Linked DNA regions of Ovis aries. The protein of the gene in region 1 purifies or fractionates together with the protein of each later gene. This does not show direct contact. Links are inferred from orthologs where the notes say so. Each region holds a gene or a part of one and is shown in the gene's direction. Other genes may lie near its edges.

What was found.
Region 2: the proteins of RUNX2 (region 1) and HDAC4 purify together in Homo sapiens (affinity purification with western blotting; 3 studies listed by BioGRID). This does not show direct contact. The link is inferred for Ovis aries from reciprocal best matches to the Homo sapiens genes RUNX2 and HDAC4.
Region 3: the proteins of RUNX2 (region 1) and UBTF purify together in Homo sapiens (co-immunoprecipitation; 3 studies listed by BioGRID and IntAct, with this or other methods). This does not show direct contact. The link is inferred for Ovis aries from reciprocal best matches to the Homo sapiens genes RUNX2 and UBTF.
Region 4: the proteins of RUNX2 (region 1) and SMAD1 purify together in Homo sapiens (affinity purification with western blotting; 3 studies listed by BioGRID). This does not show direct contact. The link is inferred for Ovis aries from reciprocal best matches to the Homo sapiens genes RUNX2 and SMAD1.

Annotation. Positions count from the first base shown.
Region 1 is NC_056073.1:18,565,219-18,569,539, forward strand, and holds the start of RUNX2 (runt-related transcription factor 2), read left to right. Parts: upstream 1-1,419; 5' UTR 1,420-1,484; coding exon 1,485-1,542; intron 1,543-4,321. UniProt on the Homo sapiens protein: Transcription factor involved in osteoblastic differentiation and skeletal morphogenesis. Essential for the maturation of osteoblasts and both intramembranous and endochondral ossification.
Region 2 is NC_056054.1:2,354,841-2,358,499, forward strand, and holds part of HDAC4 (histone deacetylase 4), read left to right. Parts: intron 1-769; coding exon 770-1,008; intron 1,009-3,659. UniProt on the Homo sapiens protein: Responsible for the deacetylation of lysine residues on the N-terminal part of the core histones (H2A, H2B, H3 and H4).
Region 3 is NC_056064.1:43,773,850-43,778,056, reverse strand, and holds the start of UBTF (nucleolar transcription factor 1), read left to right. Parts: upstream 1-1,367; 5' UTR 1,368-1,620; intron 1,621-2,202; exon of another isoform or gene 2,203-2,306; intron 2,307-2,496; exon of another isoform or gene 2,497-4,207. Other genes in the region: small nuclear ribonucleoprotein F-like, read right to left, coding at 1-16. UniProt on the Homo sapiens protein: Recognizes the ribosomal RNA gene promoter and activates transcription mediated by RNA polymerase I (Pol I) through cooperative interactions with the transcription factor SL1/TIF-IB complex.
Region 4 is NC_056070.1:12,815,832-12,819,490, reverse strand, and holds part of SMAD1 (mothers against decapentaplegic homolog 1), read left to right. Parts: intron 1-110; coding exon 111-227; intron 228-3,659. UniProt on the Homo sapiens protein: Transcriptional modulator that plays a role in various cellular processes, including embryonic development, cell differentiation, and tissue homeostasis.

The DNA of each region.
Region 1 (4,321 bases):
ACAGCTTCTGTTAACCCACTCCATTCTGAGCTCAGAGAAATCAATAACATTTAACAATCTAAGTTACAACATAAGAATTTTACTTTATATTTGTATAAGATTTGCTATCAAAGGCTCTGTTAAAGCTAATATCCAAAGAAACTATTTAAAGGATTATACAAAATGAGTATATTTCCTTAAAAACTCAAAAATTATTACAAGCATAAAGAAAACTAAGATCCATCCAATAAACTTGGGCTGCTATAATTCTTGCTATTCATTTTTATAAGATACTCAAACTAGCCATGAGATAAAGGTAAATGTAATACAAAATGTACCAATTATATTTCATCTTTATTGTAGGAGCCAGCATCCAATATTGATCATACATAAACTAGACAGACATGATTTAATATTTGTAAAGGAATTCCCAGACTAACACTTTCATGACAGCCAATTTACAGTCAAGCCCAGCAAGCAGTTTGCAACCAGACCTTAAAAAAGGTAAACTTTTTTACAATGAGTTACAGATTCACGAGTTTAAGAAGACAAGAAAAAGAAAAACAGGACTCCAATCACCCAGCAAATATGAAGCAGACCCCAGAATGTGATACAGTCCAAAGATGTAAATTATTGTAAATCATCACTGTTGTTCAGGATTTCACACACCGCCTCTTGAGCCAATTTTGCTCACTTCTCCACAGACACAATAATGAACTAAATAAAAGGAGGAGGCACCAAAAATATAGGGATGGGGGATAGAAAAGAAAGCCCCCAAATGCAGAGCTCTGCTCCACAGACGCTTAACCTTACAGGAGTTTGGGCTCCTTCAGCATTTGTATTCTATCCAAATCCTCATGAGTCACAAAAATTAAAAAGCTATATCCTTCTGGATGCCAGGAAGGGCCTTACCACAAGCCTTTTGTCAGAGGGAGAGAGAGAAAGAAAGAGCATGAGCAAGGGGGGGAAGCCACAGTGGTAGGCAGTCCCACTTGACTGTGAGTACTGTGAGGTCACAAACCACATGATTCTGTCTCTCCAGTAATAGTGCTTGCAAAAAAAAGGAGTTTGAAAGCTTTTGCTTTTTTGGATTGTGTGAATGCTTCATTCGCCTCACAAACAACCACAGAACCACAAGTGCGGTGCAAACTTTCTCCAGGAGGACAGCAAGAAGTCTCTGGTTTTTAAATGGTTAATCTCCGCAGGTCCCTACCAGCCACCGAGACCAACAGAGTCAGTGAGTGCTCTCTAAACCACAGTCTATGCAGTAATAGTAGGTCCTTCCAATATTTGCTCATTCTCTTTTTTGTTTTGTTTCCTTGCTTTTCCCATGCTACCAGCTACATAATTTCTTGACAGAAAAAAAATAAATATCAAGTCTATGTACTGCAGGCATACTGTAAAACTAAAACAAGGCTTGGGTATGGTTTGTGTTTTCAGTTTAAGGCTGCAAGCAGAATTTACAACAGAGGGTCCAAGTTCTATCTGAAAAAAAAGGAGGGACTATGGCATCAAACAGCCTCTTCAGCACAGTGACACCATGTCAGCAAAACTTCTTTTGGGGTAAGTGTTATCATATTTTAAAATCCTATCAGAGATGAACCTGTTAAACAGAAAGGTATGTTGCTCGGATAAACTTGCTAGCTTCGCCGGCTAACATTATATGAAAGGTCATAATGATGCTGTTTTGTTGCACTGAAAGCTGAAAAATGAAATTGCAGTACAAATGTGCTTCTGGCATCTGTAACTTATCTACTTCTCGGGCTAATGACTTGAAATAGAAAAAATTAAATTATCTCACATTAGTCTAAATGTTTTCTAGGGTTATTGAGATGAGGTAGCCGAAACAGTAAAGCAAAGTTTAATACTCTCATTAACCCTCACTGAAATAAAATTAGACACTAAATTAGTCAAAGTATTGTGAAAAGTATTCATTCCGGCAGCTCCCAATATTTGAGCAAACTTTAAAAAGGAAGCAATTTTACAAAATAACAGACCACAGAAGTATCTTGACATTATACTCAAGCATGCAAACAGAGAAAGAAACCTGCAGTATAACTAACATTTTAACCAGCTCAACTAAAAGATATCTATTTATAATTTTAAACTGTATCATAAGCTATCTGCACAAGCTTGTTTCTAAACAATTTTACAGAACTGAAGCATACATTCAAAAAAATTATGATAAGTATGTAACAGCCATTTTTAAAAACTCTTTATAGTTGCCCAGGAATCCAAGATATTGAAAAGCTCACAGACGTCTTCAAAACCTTACATGCAATCATAACTTTCTATACAATTTTCATTTACATCTACACACTATTACCCATATGTAGAACTTGTTATAAACCCACAGCAAACATCGAAATGTCTAGGATTCTTTTAATCATATTCTTGAACCTACCAAGTGAGTTATCGTTTAGTCTCATAAAAAAGAAAATTCTGTAAGGATACTCTGCATGATTTAAAAGAGCCAGACCAATTAAGTCATGCTGGACTTTAAATAAAACAGGCATAATGTAGTATTAATATTTAATTTCCAGTTAGTGTTGATACAGAAAGTAAACTACTTTAACATTCATCAGCCAAAGTGGTATTGTAGTAAAATAGCTAAACACTTACAAGATTTTCTTTATGATGTCCAACATGTTCTCTAAGACAAGTTTATAAAATTTTCTTTTATCCCTTAAAATAAATCCTTTTGCTGTGTATACCTGTATTAACTTTGCTTTATAACTTACAACTAACGATTGGAGTTTCCTTTACTCCTCCTACTTCACACATTTTAACTGGCTACCAGAGGATCAGTCTTAGTTTCGGTCAAAGAGAAATAATTAAACCTGAAGGAGAAAAAAGGTTTCTCTTAAAAGGGTGAGGAAATGTACTATGTATTTTACTAAAAAATGTAAAACTGCTGTAGTGACTCCTCAACAGCTCTAAGTGGGCCCCCTCGGTTATAACACATCCAATATAATGATCACAGATTATTTTTTTAATGTAATGGAAGGTAATGAGCATTACTGTAAAAACTTTTGCATTAAGGAAGCAGAACATATACACAACTAGACTGCATTAACAACTCTTATAATTATAGTTTCTACATGGAAACTTTTGCTATACCTACTCAAGAAGAGGGGGAAAAATGCTTGAAACAATTGTTATATGGAGGGATAACTTGAAACAGGCACCTCAAGAAGTTAAGTTACTCTTCACAATATTACTCTGCTTTTAAAAAAAATAATGAGTTTTCAAACCAGATCAGGAACACAAATTTCAAGCACTATTTCAGCATCAGATTTAAAGTTATTAATATAGTCACAAAAAATATGTTTAAATGTTCTTTATTCTATCATGACAGGGAGTCTTACATTTCTGTAACATCCTTATAACTATTTCTATAGTAAAATTTGCAAAACTTGACCAAGTTAGAAACAAGGCATTAACAGTGAATTAGATAATCTTCTATCACATGTCATATATGCTTATACATCATAACTTAAGTCTTCTTCTTCTGCAAAGTGGAATTTACCCCTTCCCGCACCCAAACAGTATTGGAGAGCCTGAATAGAGAACAGAAAATGAACCCACTTCACCGGACTAATTACAGGTGGGTGGTGGACAGAAGGTACAGGGTATCATCACATTACAAACATTTCCCCCTTCTGGAATCTATCTGAAGTCTGAAACCTCACTTTAGGCTTTAAATGTTTACATAATTGATCACCAAAATAACCTAGTGAAATGTCAAAAGTATGTACTTCAATTTTGTAAAATACTTTTAAAAGTTCGGGCTCTTCCTAGGTGAGGGACAAAGCTGACCAACTGTTTCACCTCAAAATAATGAGGGAAAAGAGTGTGAGTGTATGTGTGAGTATGTAAGAGAGTGTGTGTGTTGTGTATGAATTTTCAATCTGCGCTACTCAAAATCTGTTCATTATTTATCATAAATTAAGTCTGTTAAAATAAATAGATGTAACTCATGGAGCATCTTACCATTAAAAACTTACTTATGAAAATATATCAGCTGACAAACAATTTCTACATAAAACTTTGCAACTGATCATAGTGCCGGACAGAACGTGATGTGTGAACACTGACTTCCAAAACAATACTTGTGGTTCATATCAATGATAGTGACTTTATAGTTTCAAGATTGACTAGCAACAAAGTGTCACAACTTGCTTCTAAAATAAGAGAGCTAAACTCCAAAATCCAGGGATCTCCCCTGATTTAAAAAGAACATACACAGAGGATCCACTCCTATTAAAAACTACCAAGGTTGATGTAATTTCCAAAGATACTTATTATGAATTATTTTACATAAGAGTAAATAAGCATAATT
Region 2 (3,659 bases), on another chromosome or scaffold:
GTGATGTGGTTAGTTTCTCCAGCTCTGGTGCCGAGGGACAGATACGCAGGGGGCCTGGGAAGGGTCTGTTACACCCTTTTGCCTGTGGTACCAGGGAAAATGGTAAACTGTCTAAACCCACAATTTATAAAAGAAAAAGTACTGATGGCTGAAAGGAATATAGAAGGAGAACATTCCCCCTCCTGGTTCACATGAGGAGGTTGCATTTTGAAGCAAGATTCAAACACAGATTCAAACCTACCCTCTTCTGTCCACACAGATTCTTAATTTAAACACTCAGCCCAGACACGGTGCGGCCGAGCTGCCCTTCTCCTGGGCAGCAGGTGACAGCCTTTCCTAGAAATTTGCAGAGATTTTGACAACATGCATCAGAATTTTTTTCAAGTGTTGATGCCCTCTTTGTGTATAAAATCGACGTCTTGAGACCCTTAAAATGGTTTGGTTCATAAGGGCAGGTGTCTTCCTCACACCTGGGTTTCTGAGGCTGTCAAAAAGGTGCCCACTCGCTGGTCTTCCAGAACATTCTGGAGCCACCAGACCCTAGCCCCTTCCTCTGAGGGCGCCTGTGCTGGGGCTGCCCACTTACGACCTGGACTGGGTATGGGGGGACCAGATGACTGGCCACTGCCCCTAAGTCCAGGCTTCGGGTGGTCAGCGTGCAGGAGCAGACCTGGCGGGCTTCGGGGAGGCTGTGGCGGCCAGCCTCCGTCACGGACTCACCAGGCCTCGCCCCTCCCTTCTGTTCCTCCCCTCCCCGTGCTCTCTCCAGACCGCTATCTTGCAGGCCTGGGCGCGCTGCCCCTGCACGCGCAGCCCCTGGTGGGGGCCGAGCGCGTGGCACCCTCGGTGCACAAGCTGCGGCAGCACCGCCCGCTGGGCCGCACGCAGTCGGCGCCGCTGCCTCAGAGCGCGCAGGCGCTGCAGCACCTGGTCATCCAGCAGCAGCACCAGCAGTTCCTGGAGAAGCACAAGCAGCACTTCCAGCAGCCGCAGCTGCACCTCAACAAGGTGAGGCGCGGGGCGGGGCCAGGAGTGGTGGGGGCGGGGTCAGGAACACGTGGGGGTAGGGCCAGGAGTGATGGGGGCGGGGCCGGGGACACGTGGGGGCGGGGCCGGGGACACAGGGCAGTGAGCAGCTTGTCCCGTTGGTGGCATGAAGGAGGCAGGAGTGGGGTGGGCTATGTTCCCGAAGCGTCTGTGTCCCTGGGTGGCTTATTCTCCTTGCCCCTCAGGAGTCTCTGGGGTTTCTTAAGGGGATTTATCCTCTTAAGCAAACTTCCAGCAGAGAGTCCCCAGCGGAGAGTGCCCAGCAGAGGCACAGGGCCCCCAAAGCACAGGTTCCAGGCCCCTGGACACTGGCGCTCTGCCTGCCCATTGCAGCAGCCTCGGCCAGAGGGCTCCTGCCCAGAGGTCTGCGTCCCTCCATCCAGCATCTGGTCGGTCACTCCCAACCTGCTTTCAGCAGCAGGCGGCACCGAGGTCAGTGTGGCCCCCCCTGCTGGTTATTGAAGCAAGAGCAGCAGTTTCAAATAACTGGTTCCAAATGCTAACATTGGAAGCAAAGCCCTTTTCTGGTAGAGAATGAGAGGAACTACTCTGGAAAGCTGTCCAGCGGTTCCTCCAAAGGTTAAACGCAGAGCCATCACACTGCCTGGCAGCTCCCGTCCTGGGAGAATTGGGGGCCCTGAACAAACAGCAAGCTGCCCCAGACCAGGCCCTACTGCCTGCCCAAGCGCTTGGACACAGGCTCAGCACCCCTGCCCCAGAGCCGCTCTGCCTGGCGGGCTCCCCTACCAGATGGCACAGGGCAGGGTCAGGAGTGGGTGGGGCGGCTGGACGCAGCCCTGCGGGGCAGGAAAGGCACCTTTAAGGTGGACAAGACGGAGGCCGAAGTGTCAGAGGCACTCTGCGTCACCTTTCTGATGCCGACGGTCTTCTTGCTTGCGTTGTGCCGTTCTCTGAGTGATAGGGTAGGAGACTGGAAAGACGGAACACCTGTTCACGTGTGGTATGTTCTCCAACAGAGAGACAGACGCGGCTGATCTCTCTGGATTTCCCTCCGTGATTGATTTGCTGTCGCGAGCGACAGCTGATTGAAGTGTTTATGCACTGATCTCCCGGAGGGTGCGGGGAGCTGACAGTCGTACCCAGCACTGCCAGTACCGACATTTCTGCCCCCTGTCTTCCGGGCCCGTGGCCTGAAGGCTCCTGAGCCAAGGCCCGCAGCCCCACCCCGCAGCCCTGCCTGGAGTGCACCAGGGTCTCAGCCATTCCTCGCATGGGTTACTGCTCCTCAGCCCAGTTGTGAACGTGAACACTGGGTCCCAATTGTTTGGACGTCTAATGGTGAGCGTGTCCAGTAGTCTTAAACGCTGGCCTGCTCACCAGTTTGGTTTGGGCCCTGAACTCCAGTCTGGCTTTTAGAAGCTTGCTGTTCCAAGCATGGAGTTCCCTCCGTTCTCGCTCAGTTGGTGAGAGGGTGCTCCTGAGGCCCAGAAGGCCTTGGGGAGGCAGAGTGGCTCTGTGTGTGCTGTTTGCTGCTGGGTCAGCGCGGTCGTTCACAAGGCCATGCATGCCCACTCAGAGCTGACCTCCTGGCAGGGCCGGGGGCAGCCCCGGCTCCTCCAGGATCAGCCACGGCTTCTCCAAGTTCCCTGGGAGAAGCCCCACCTCCGTTTCCCTGCTTCTTCGTCTGCCTGCTTCTTCCTAACCATCATTTCCAGCCCTGGCCTATCGCCCGACCCCTTGCTCCGATCCCCCTTCCCAGGACAGCCCCTCACAGGTTGCCCAGAGTTTGGGTCTCAGCCTCTCTGTGGCAGGCCCAGGTCCCGTGCCCCTCACGCCCCGACCTCCCTCCATGCAGCTGTCCTCAGGCGCCTGGCCTGGAATCCCAAGGGTCCCCTGGCGCGCCTGGACCAGCCCCTCTGCTGATCTTCTGCCCCCTCCCGACTGAGCCCCCAAAGGGTCATTTCTCTGCAGGCAGTCCCCTGACCCCACCCGTTCTCAGCCTGACTGTTTATCTTCCCACAGCAGAGAGGAGCTTGCCTCCCGCTCTGAGACAGCACCTGCCTCCCAGACCATCATCTGGAGGCTTAAGTCTGTGGTGCTGGGGGCTCCCGTCCCCATGTCCCCCCCGCTGTCCACGCCCTGTCCCCGTGTCCTCCTCCCTCCTCCCACGCAGTGCCCACAGCCTCTTCCCCCACAGCCGCACCCTGGAGCACACCACAGGGGCCTTGCCCGCTCCCACTCTCCCCCGTCCTTGTTCCCTCCCCGTCACTCTGCTGTGACGTCTACTCACCAGTCTGTCCCCCAGCCACCTTCCCAGGCCCTGCGCTCCCCAAACCTCCCGTCAACCCCAGCCTGTTACCTGTTGGGCTCTGCATCAGACGCTGAGGGATGACGAAGCGCGAGCGCTTTGGCCCCGCGGACCATAAAGCTGAGGCTCCTGATGCCACCTGCTGAGGTTTCCAGGCCCCTGTGGACCTGGGGGGCCCAGGAGAGGCCCAGAGCCCTCTGCTGGTGGAGATGGGTCCTCCTGCCCCCAGCCTGGTCGGGAGGTGGTGGTCTCACCCCCAGTGGACTCTGTCTAAGCACAAAGCTCATAGTGGGGCCTCACCAGCTCCAGGTATGTGGGAAGCAGATGAGATGGACAGATCCCC
Region 3 (4,207 bases), on another chromosome or scaffold:
TGAGGGGCAAACTCATCGTGACTACCGCTGCAGTAGTGGGGAAATGCTGCAGGATACTCGCCGCCGATGCAATTGCCGAGCGACCCTCGGGACTGAAGTAACCACACAGCTGCTATTCTAATTTTATAGACAAGAAAACTGGGATCAGATGAAGTTAAGACATTTAACCAAACTCACACTGTTAAGGTGGGAAAGCCCAGAGGCTGGAAACCTGGGACTTCTGACTCCAAACCCTTTGATGTTTCGAAGTCAAAACAAGAAAGTCATTCCCTGCAGGTTCTAAGTTGGAGAAGGAAATGGCAACCCACTCCAGTATTCTTGCCTGGAGAATCCCAGAGTCGGAGGAGCCTGGTGGGCTGCCGTCTGTGGGGTCACGCAGAGTCGGACACGACTGAAGCGACTTAGCAGCAGCAGCAGCAGGTTCTAAGTACAGCGTGACATGGCTTGGTCCTTCACAAAATGCCCTCTGTAAGTTCCAAGGGCAGAACTGGGTTTGTGGGGAGGGGGAGGGGCGAGTAAAAAATAATACCAAATGATGAATCAAAAGTAAAGAGATAGCCTGCGATGAGGGCCCTGAAGCTTAAGCTTCACTAGCATCAAGGTAAATTGGCCCCGCCTACCCACTAAAAAATTCGGACACACCAGATCTTGACAAGATTTTCCTCCCGGTTTGTGAAACGTGGCAGATGTGGGCTGTGGAAGTCCTGGGAAAGGACTCTCAGTTCTCCCAGGGGACAAGATAAATTACAGCAACAGCGAGGCCGTGGTGTGGGGATGGAGAAGGCTGTGTGACAGGGGAAGAGTCCAAAGGGGCCGGCGGCCCAGCTGGCAGTGCCGCTGTGGTAGGCTGGCATCCCTAGAGCCGGGGGCGATGGCGCCGCCCCGGAGCGATGGCCCAAACCGTAGGCTCGCCTGATGGAAGCAAGCGTTCTTCAGACCGTCTTCTGGCTTCCTGCGTCCAGATGAACCTTTCTCGGTGGAGGAGAGGCAGAGACAGACAACCGCAGCCGACGGCAGTGGGAGGGTAGATGGTGGTCGCGCCTAGGCCTTTCTATCTCCGGCCCGCAGGATGGTGGAGAGCGGAGGCCTACGGGAAGGCTGCCCCGCTGGGGCTCTGGCGGCGAGGCCGGGGTGCCAGGCTCCCCTCGCGGCTCCCCGCCGCCGCCGGGGGGAGGAGGGGCAGGGGGAGCAGAGCCCGCGGCCTGCTTTCCCAGGGCTGGCCAAGCCTTTTTGACAAGCTGATAGCGTGCCGGGGATTGGCTGGTCCGGGCGTGACGCCGGTTAACAACAAAGGTGGAGTTGGAAGAAATTAGATTAAAGGAGGGGGGGGGGGGTTTGGAAATTAAAGGGGGAGCAGGCTGGAGACTGGAGGCAGAGACCGAAGGGGAGATGCGCGAAGCGCGGTCTCGCGGCTCCGCTTCGCCCCGGAATCCCCTTCGCCTAAACCCACCGGGATTTTTGCTCTCAACCGACTCCCGCGGCCCAGCTACCGAAGCAGGGGTGGGACGGATGGTTGCTGCTTCTTGAAAAATGCCCCCAACTCTCACCCTGACACCCCTTTACTATGGCCCAAGGGGAGAACTCTTTGCTCGGACTCCTCGGATCCTAAACTCGGAGGAGGTGAGGGGCATTGAGAATAGCGAGAGGTTCGCTCTAAAACCCGGAAGGCCCTCGCGGGGCACCGAGAACGGACGAGGCGGGGCACTCCCCCGGTTTTCCAATGTGTTGCAAACCTAAGAGCTTTTCTTGCTTGCTTTTTTTTTTTTTTTTTGGTAACACCCTTCCCCCCCTTTTCTCTCCCCCCCACCCTGCTTTGGCTCCAGGGTTGCAAAAGCAAAGAGCAATAAAAAAAAAAAAAAAAAAAGAAAGAAACCCGCGCATACACTCAGACACACACCAGTGGCGACAGGGGAGAGTTGGAAAGACGCAGGAGAGAAGCAGGAGGCAGCGGGGAGGGAGCAATGGGAGCGGGAAGCCGGCAGGTTCCCTCGCAAATCCCCCTCCGGCCCAACGTCGCCTCGCCGGCCCCGGCAGGGGAGCGAGGAGCCGGGCGAGCAGATGGAGGAGTGGAGCTCGCTCTAGGCAGCAGGCTTGGCCGGAGAATGGAGGAGCCGCCAAGCGATCGGCTGATTGGAAGAGAAACGCAGAGCGATGGAGGCGGGGGTAGGAGGACGATTTCTCTGCGGGGACTGGCGGCGGCGTATACGCCCGGGTCGGGCGCTGCAGAGCTTGGCTAGCTTTCAACCCGCGCTCGCCGGCTCCAGCCCCACGCGCCCCCACCCCCAGCCCTCCCGGCGGCTCCGCAGGTGAGTGCGAGCTGGGGGCAAAAAGACTCGAAAGTCTCAACACGCCCGCCCTGCCAAAAGGAGGAAAAAAAAAGAAAAGCATTTTTCCTTTTCTTTTTTTTTATTTTCGTGCAGCCCCCAGCACGGTGGGAGGGAAGGGGTGAGGCTGAGTCGCCCGGAGGAGGCGGAGGGGCCAGGCGAGGCCGGGGTGGCCCGGGAGGCGGCGGCGCCGAGGCGGCTCTGACGGGCTAGCGCTCGGAGCGGCGCTGCGCTGCGCCGAGGCGGGCGGGCGGGCGGGCGGAGCGGGGCGGGCGGAGCGCGGCGCGTGGGGCTCGCCATTAGCCGTCGCTCCGCTTCGCCATCTCGGGCTTTGTCTGGCGGCTTGCTGCCCCGGCGTCGGCTGCGGCGGAGCTGCGGCTCAGCTCTTCGGCCCGCCGCACCCTTAAGGCGCCCTTGGCCCGTGCTCCCATTCACACGCTCGGTAAGTGAGCCCCGGCGCCGCGGATTTCGGGGGAGAGGGGTTTCTACGAGTGGCGGCGGCGCCGATCTCCATGCGCCCGGGCAGGCCTGGGGAGCCATGCCGGGCTGGATTGAACCAGCTCCCACAGAGGCTCCTCCGCCGACTCGTAGCTTTATCGCCGCTTGTGGGATTTAAAGAGCAAAGAAGATTTTTTTTTTCTGTTTTAATTTGCAAAGAGGACATTTTTTAGGGATTTTTTTTTTTTTCAAGTTTCGTGTGTGTGCTGCTTAGCAGCGAGGCAGGCTCCGAAGCCTGGCACGGCGATTGGCTTGCGTGCGCCCCAAGCCGGTGGCTACGCTCCGGGGATAAGGGTGGGCGCGAAATGCCCGCTCCGGGAGGCGGGCGAGTGAGCGGGTGAGGGCTGGAGTGGAAGCCCGAATCTGAGCTGGGGGAGAGAGCTCTGGAGCTGGGCTGCAAACACCCCCGGAGCCTCTCCAGCTGCCGGGGGGCCCTCCGGCACCCTCTCTGCGGTCGCGCCTCGCGCCCTCCCTCCTGCGCCGGCCGAGCCTGCTAGTTCCCCCGCGGGTCTGGCGAGGTCGCTCTCGGCGCCCGCCCGCCTCGGCTCCGAGCCCCGCCGCCATCCGGGCGGCTGCGTGTCTCCCTGCCCCGACCCCCCCCCCCCCTCCCCGGCGGCAGCAGCAGCCGCCGCCGCCGCCACCACCACCACCACCACCAGCACTACCCCCCTCCCCTCCTTCCTTCCCTCCGCCTCGGCCGCCCGGGTCCCCCCAGCTCCCGCCCCTCCTCCCAGCTGCCCCCCGCGGAGCCCGCCCGGGCAGGCTGTGGGAGGGAGCGGAGCCGGCGAGGCGGGCGGGCTGGCGCTCGCTCCCCGGGGGTCGGTGTGCGCTCTACGGGGAAGGACGCGCTCGCTGCCCCGCTTCTCCCGCCCCCCCTCCCGCTCCTCCTCCTCCCTTCTCCCTCCTCCTCCCCGCTCCGGCGGCGGAGGCTGCGGCGGCGGCGGGGGGTGTGCGAGCTGAGGCCGGGGCCGGCGGGCGGGCGGCGGGCGGGCTGCCTGCAGGCGGAGGGCGCTGTGCTTTGTGCTTTTCGCCGCGAGGAGCAGCAGGCAGCAGCCACAGCCGCAGCCGCCGCCGCCACAGCAGCAGCCGCCGCCCCAGCGCCGCCGCCGCCGCGCCCGGAGGAGGAGCCGCTGCCGCCGCGGGAGGGAGCTGCGGCTGTGCCCGGCCGAGCGGGGGAGGGCGCCGCCGATCAGAGCCGGGGAGGGAGCCGCCGGAGCGGGAAGCCCGGAGGCCGCGCTGCGCCGGGTAACCGAGGCGGCTGAGGACGCGCGCCGGGTCGGGGCCGGGGCCAGGCGGCGGGGAGCGAGCCGTGGGTGCGGTGGACGCCTGGAGACCCGGGGCGAGTTCCAGGCAGAGAACTGGGCGAGAGAGGACCAGGGCAAATG
Region 4 (3,659 bases), on another chromosome or scaffold:
CACTTAATCTCATAAGAATTTTGGCATGGAAGAGAATATATGTTTTAAGCTTGTGTGCTTGCGTGTTTACTAAGGATAAACAAATCTTTTTTTTTTTCCAAATTTTGTAGCAGATACACCCCCACCTGCTTACCTGCCCCCTGAAGACCCCATGACCCAGGATGGCTCTCAACCCATGGACACAAATATGATGGCGCCTTCTCTGCCCTCAGAAATCAACAGAGGAGGTAAAAATGAACTGCTGCTTATTCTCTTTTTAGAATCTGAAGTTCTCTGTCCAAATGTTGCTCGCTCCCACAAATTTTTTATTAGTCTTGAAAAAGATAGCTATTTGAAAAGGAGCATTTATAACAAGAGAATTTCACTAAAAAGAATTCCTTGGTTTAGAAATAAGCCTTTTATATGAAGAACAGATACACCGATTTAGCTAATGAAAGTCTAAATATAATTGTGCAGCCATCTGTTTAGAGCCTTAGTACTTAATACTTCCAAATTGGTGATAAAAGAATATTTTTAAGTGAAAGACCAAGGGATGTTGAGCGGGGGTGGGAAGTGAATATAAAATTGAAATAGAGTTTTCACTGGGATTTCCAAAATGAAAAGTTCATACAACAAGGCGTTCCAAACGCTTCTTTTGTTGTCAGGATAAATATTCGTAAGCCTCATCTTCCTTCTGGCCCTCATCTAGAATAGTGGCAGCTGAACCAAACTAAGAGCATTTGTTCCCTGTGTGCACGCTTCAATTAAGGCAAACAGAAGGACTTCTCAGGTGGCACAGTGGTAAAGGATCCGCCTACAATGAAGGACACACAGGTTCAGTACCTGGGTTGGGAAGATCCCCTTGAATAGGAAATGGCAACCCACTCCAGTATTCTTGCCTGGAGGATTCCATGGACAGGAGCCTGGCTGGCTACAGTCCGTGGGGTCACAAAGAGTCTGACACGACTTTGTGACTAAAAGACAGCAACTCAAATTGAAGTTAAAATACAAGTTCATTATTAGGTATGTCTTATTTCCTTCTTTCAGTTCAGTTCAGTCGGTCAGTCGTGTCCGACTCTTTGCAACCCCATGAATTGCAGCATGCCAGGTCTCCCTGACCATCACCAGCTCCCAGAGTTCACCCAAATTCACGTGCATCGAGTCGGTGATGCCATCCAGCCATCTCATCCTCTGTCGTCCCCTTCTTCTCCTGCCCCTAATCCCTCCCAGCATCAGGCTTTTTTCCAATGAGTCAGCTCTTCACATGAGGTGGCCAAAGTATTGGAGTTTCAGCTTTAGCATCAGTCCTTCCAAAGAACACCCAGGACTGATCTCCTTTAGAATGGACTGGTTGGATCTCCTTACAGTCCAAGGGACTCTCAGGAGTCTTCTCCAACACCACAGTTCAAAAGCATCAATTCTTTGGCACTCAGCTTTCTTCACAGTCCAACTCTCACATCCATACATGACCACTGGAAAAACCATAGCCTTGACTAGATGGACCTTTATTGGCAAAGTAATGTCTCTGCTTCTGAATACACTATCTAGGTTGGTCATCACTTTCCTTCCAAGGAGTAAGCGTTTTTTAATTTCATGGCTGCAGTCACCATCTGCAGTGATTTTGAAGCCCCCAAAATAAAGTCTTCTACTGTTTCCCCATCTATTTCCCATGAAGTGATGGGACCAGATGCCATGATCTTCTGAATGTTGAGCTTTAAGCCAGCTTTTTCACTCTCCTCTTTCACTTTCATCAAGAGGCTTTTTAGTTCCTCTTCACTTTCTGCCATAAGGGTGGTGTCATCTGCATCTCTGAGGTTATTGATATTTCTCCCAGCAATCTTGATTTCAGCTTGTGCTTCTTCCAGCCCAGTGTTTCTCATGATGTACTCTGCATGGAAGTTAAATAAGCAGGGTGACAATATACAGCCTTGACGTACTCCTTTTCCTATTTGGAACCGTCTGTTGATCCATGTCCAATTCTAACTGTTGCTTCTTGACCTCCATACAGGTTTCTCAAGAGGCAGGTCAGGTGGTCTGGTATTCCCATCTCTTTCAGAATTTTCCACAGTTTATTGTGATCCAATCAAAGGCTTTGACATAGTAAAGCAGAAATAGATGTTTTTCTGGAACTCTCTTGCTTTTTCCATGATCCAGCAGATGTTGGCAATTTGATCTCCAGTTCCTCTGCCTTTTCTAAAACCAACTTGAACATCAGGAAGTTCATGGTTCACGTATTGCTAAAGCCTGGGTTGGAGAATTTTGAGCATTACTTTACTAGCATGTGAGATGAGTGCAATTGTGCAGTAGTTTAAGCATTCTTTGGCATTGCCTTTCTTTGGGATTGGAATGAAAACTGACCTTTTCCAGTCTTGTGGCCACTGCTGAGTTTTCCAAATTTGCTGGCATATTGAGTGCAGCACTTTCACAGCATCATCTTTCAGGATTTGAAAGAGTTCAACTGGAATTCCATCACCTCCACTAGCTTTGTTCATTGTGATACTTTCTAAGGCCCACTTGATTTCCCATTGCAGGATGTCTGGCTCTAGGTGAGTGACACACCATTGTGATTATCTGGATCGTGAAGATCTTTTTTGTACAGTTCTTCTGTGTATTCTTGCCACCTCTTCTTAATATCTCTGCTTCTGTTAGCTCCATACCATTTCTGTCCTTTATCGAGCCCATCTTTGCATGAAATGTTCCCTTGGTATCTCTAATTTTCTTGAAGAGATCTCTAGTCTTTCCCAATCTGTTGTTTTCCTCTATTTCTTTGCATCGATTGCTGAAAAAGGCTTTCTTATCTCTTCTTGCTATTCTTTGGAACTCTGCATTCAGATGCTTATATCTTTCCTTTTCTCCTTTGCTTTTTGCTTGTCTTCTTTTCACAGCTATTTGTAAGGCCTCCTCAGACAGCCATTTTGCTTTTTTTGCATTTCTTTTCCATGGGGATGGTCTTGATCCCTGTCTCCTATACAATGTCACAAAGCTCCGTCCATAATTCATCAGGCACTCTATCAGATCTAGGTCCTTAAATCTATTTCTCACTAATCATAAGGAATTTGATTTAGGTCATACCTGAATGGTCTAGCGGTTTTCCCTACTTTCTTCAATTTAAGTCTGAATTTGGCAATAAGGAGTTCATGATCTGAGCCACAGTCAGCTCCCAGTCTTGTTTTTGCTGGCTGTATGGAGCTTCTCCATCTTTGGCTGCAAAGAATATAATCAATCTGATGTCCATGTGGACTATCTGGTGGTGTCCATGTGTAGAGTCTTCTCTTGTGTTGTTGGAAGAGGGTGTTTGCTATGACCAGTGAGAATTAGCACTTTTTAAAGTAAAGGACTGGAAATAACCTCAGACTTTTTCAGAAGTCGCAGATATTTTTTTAAGGTTTTCAAAGTTGATGATGAACTCAGAGATCTTTCCTTCAATGTGCAGTGCAATAAATTGGAAGTCATACCTTTTTAAGGTGTAAATATTTCTTATATCTTTTTTATTGGCTATGTGTTTTATGTTTTTACTGCCTCTGGATTTTGATAATCTGTGAAGCATCCTCTCAAACATATAATTATGAGCTGACAAAGATTCTGGTTGGAGAAAATAACTCCTGTCTCACACACCTTTGGAACGTGTATTTGGGGAACAGAAGAGAACAGGCACAGCCTGAAACGGTTACGAGCATGTG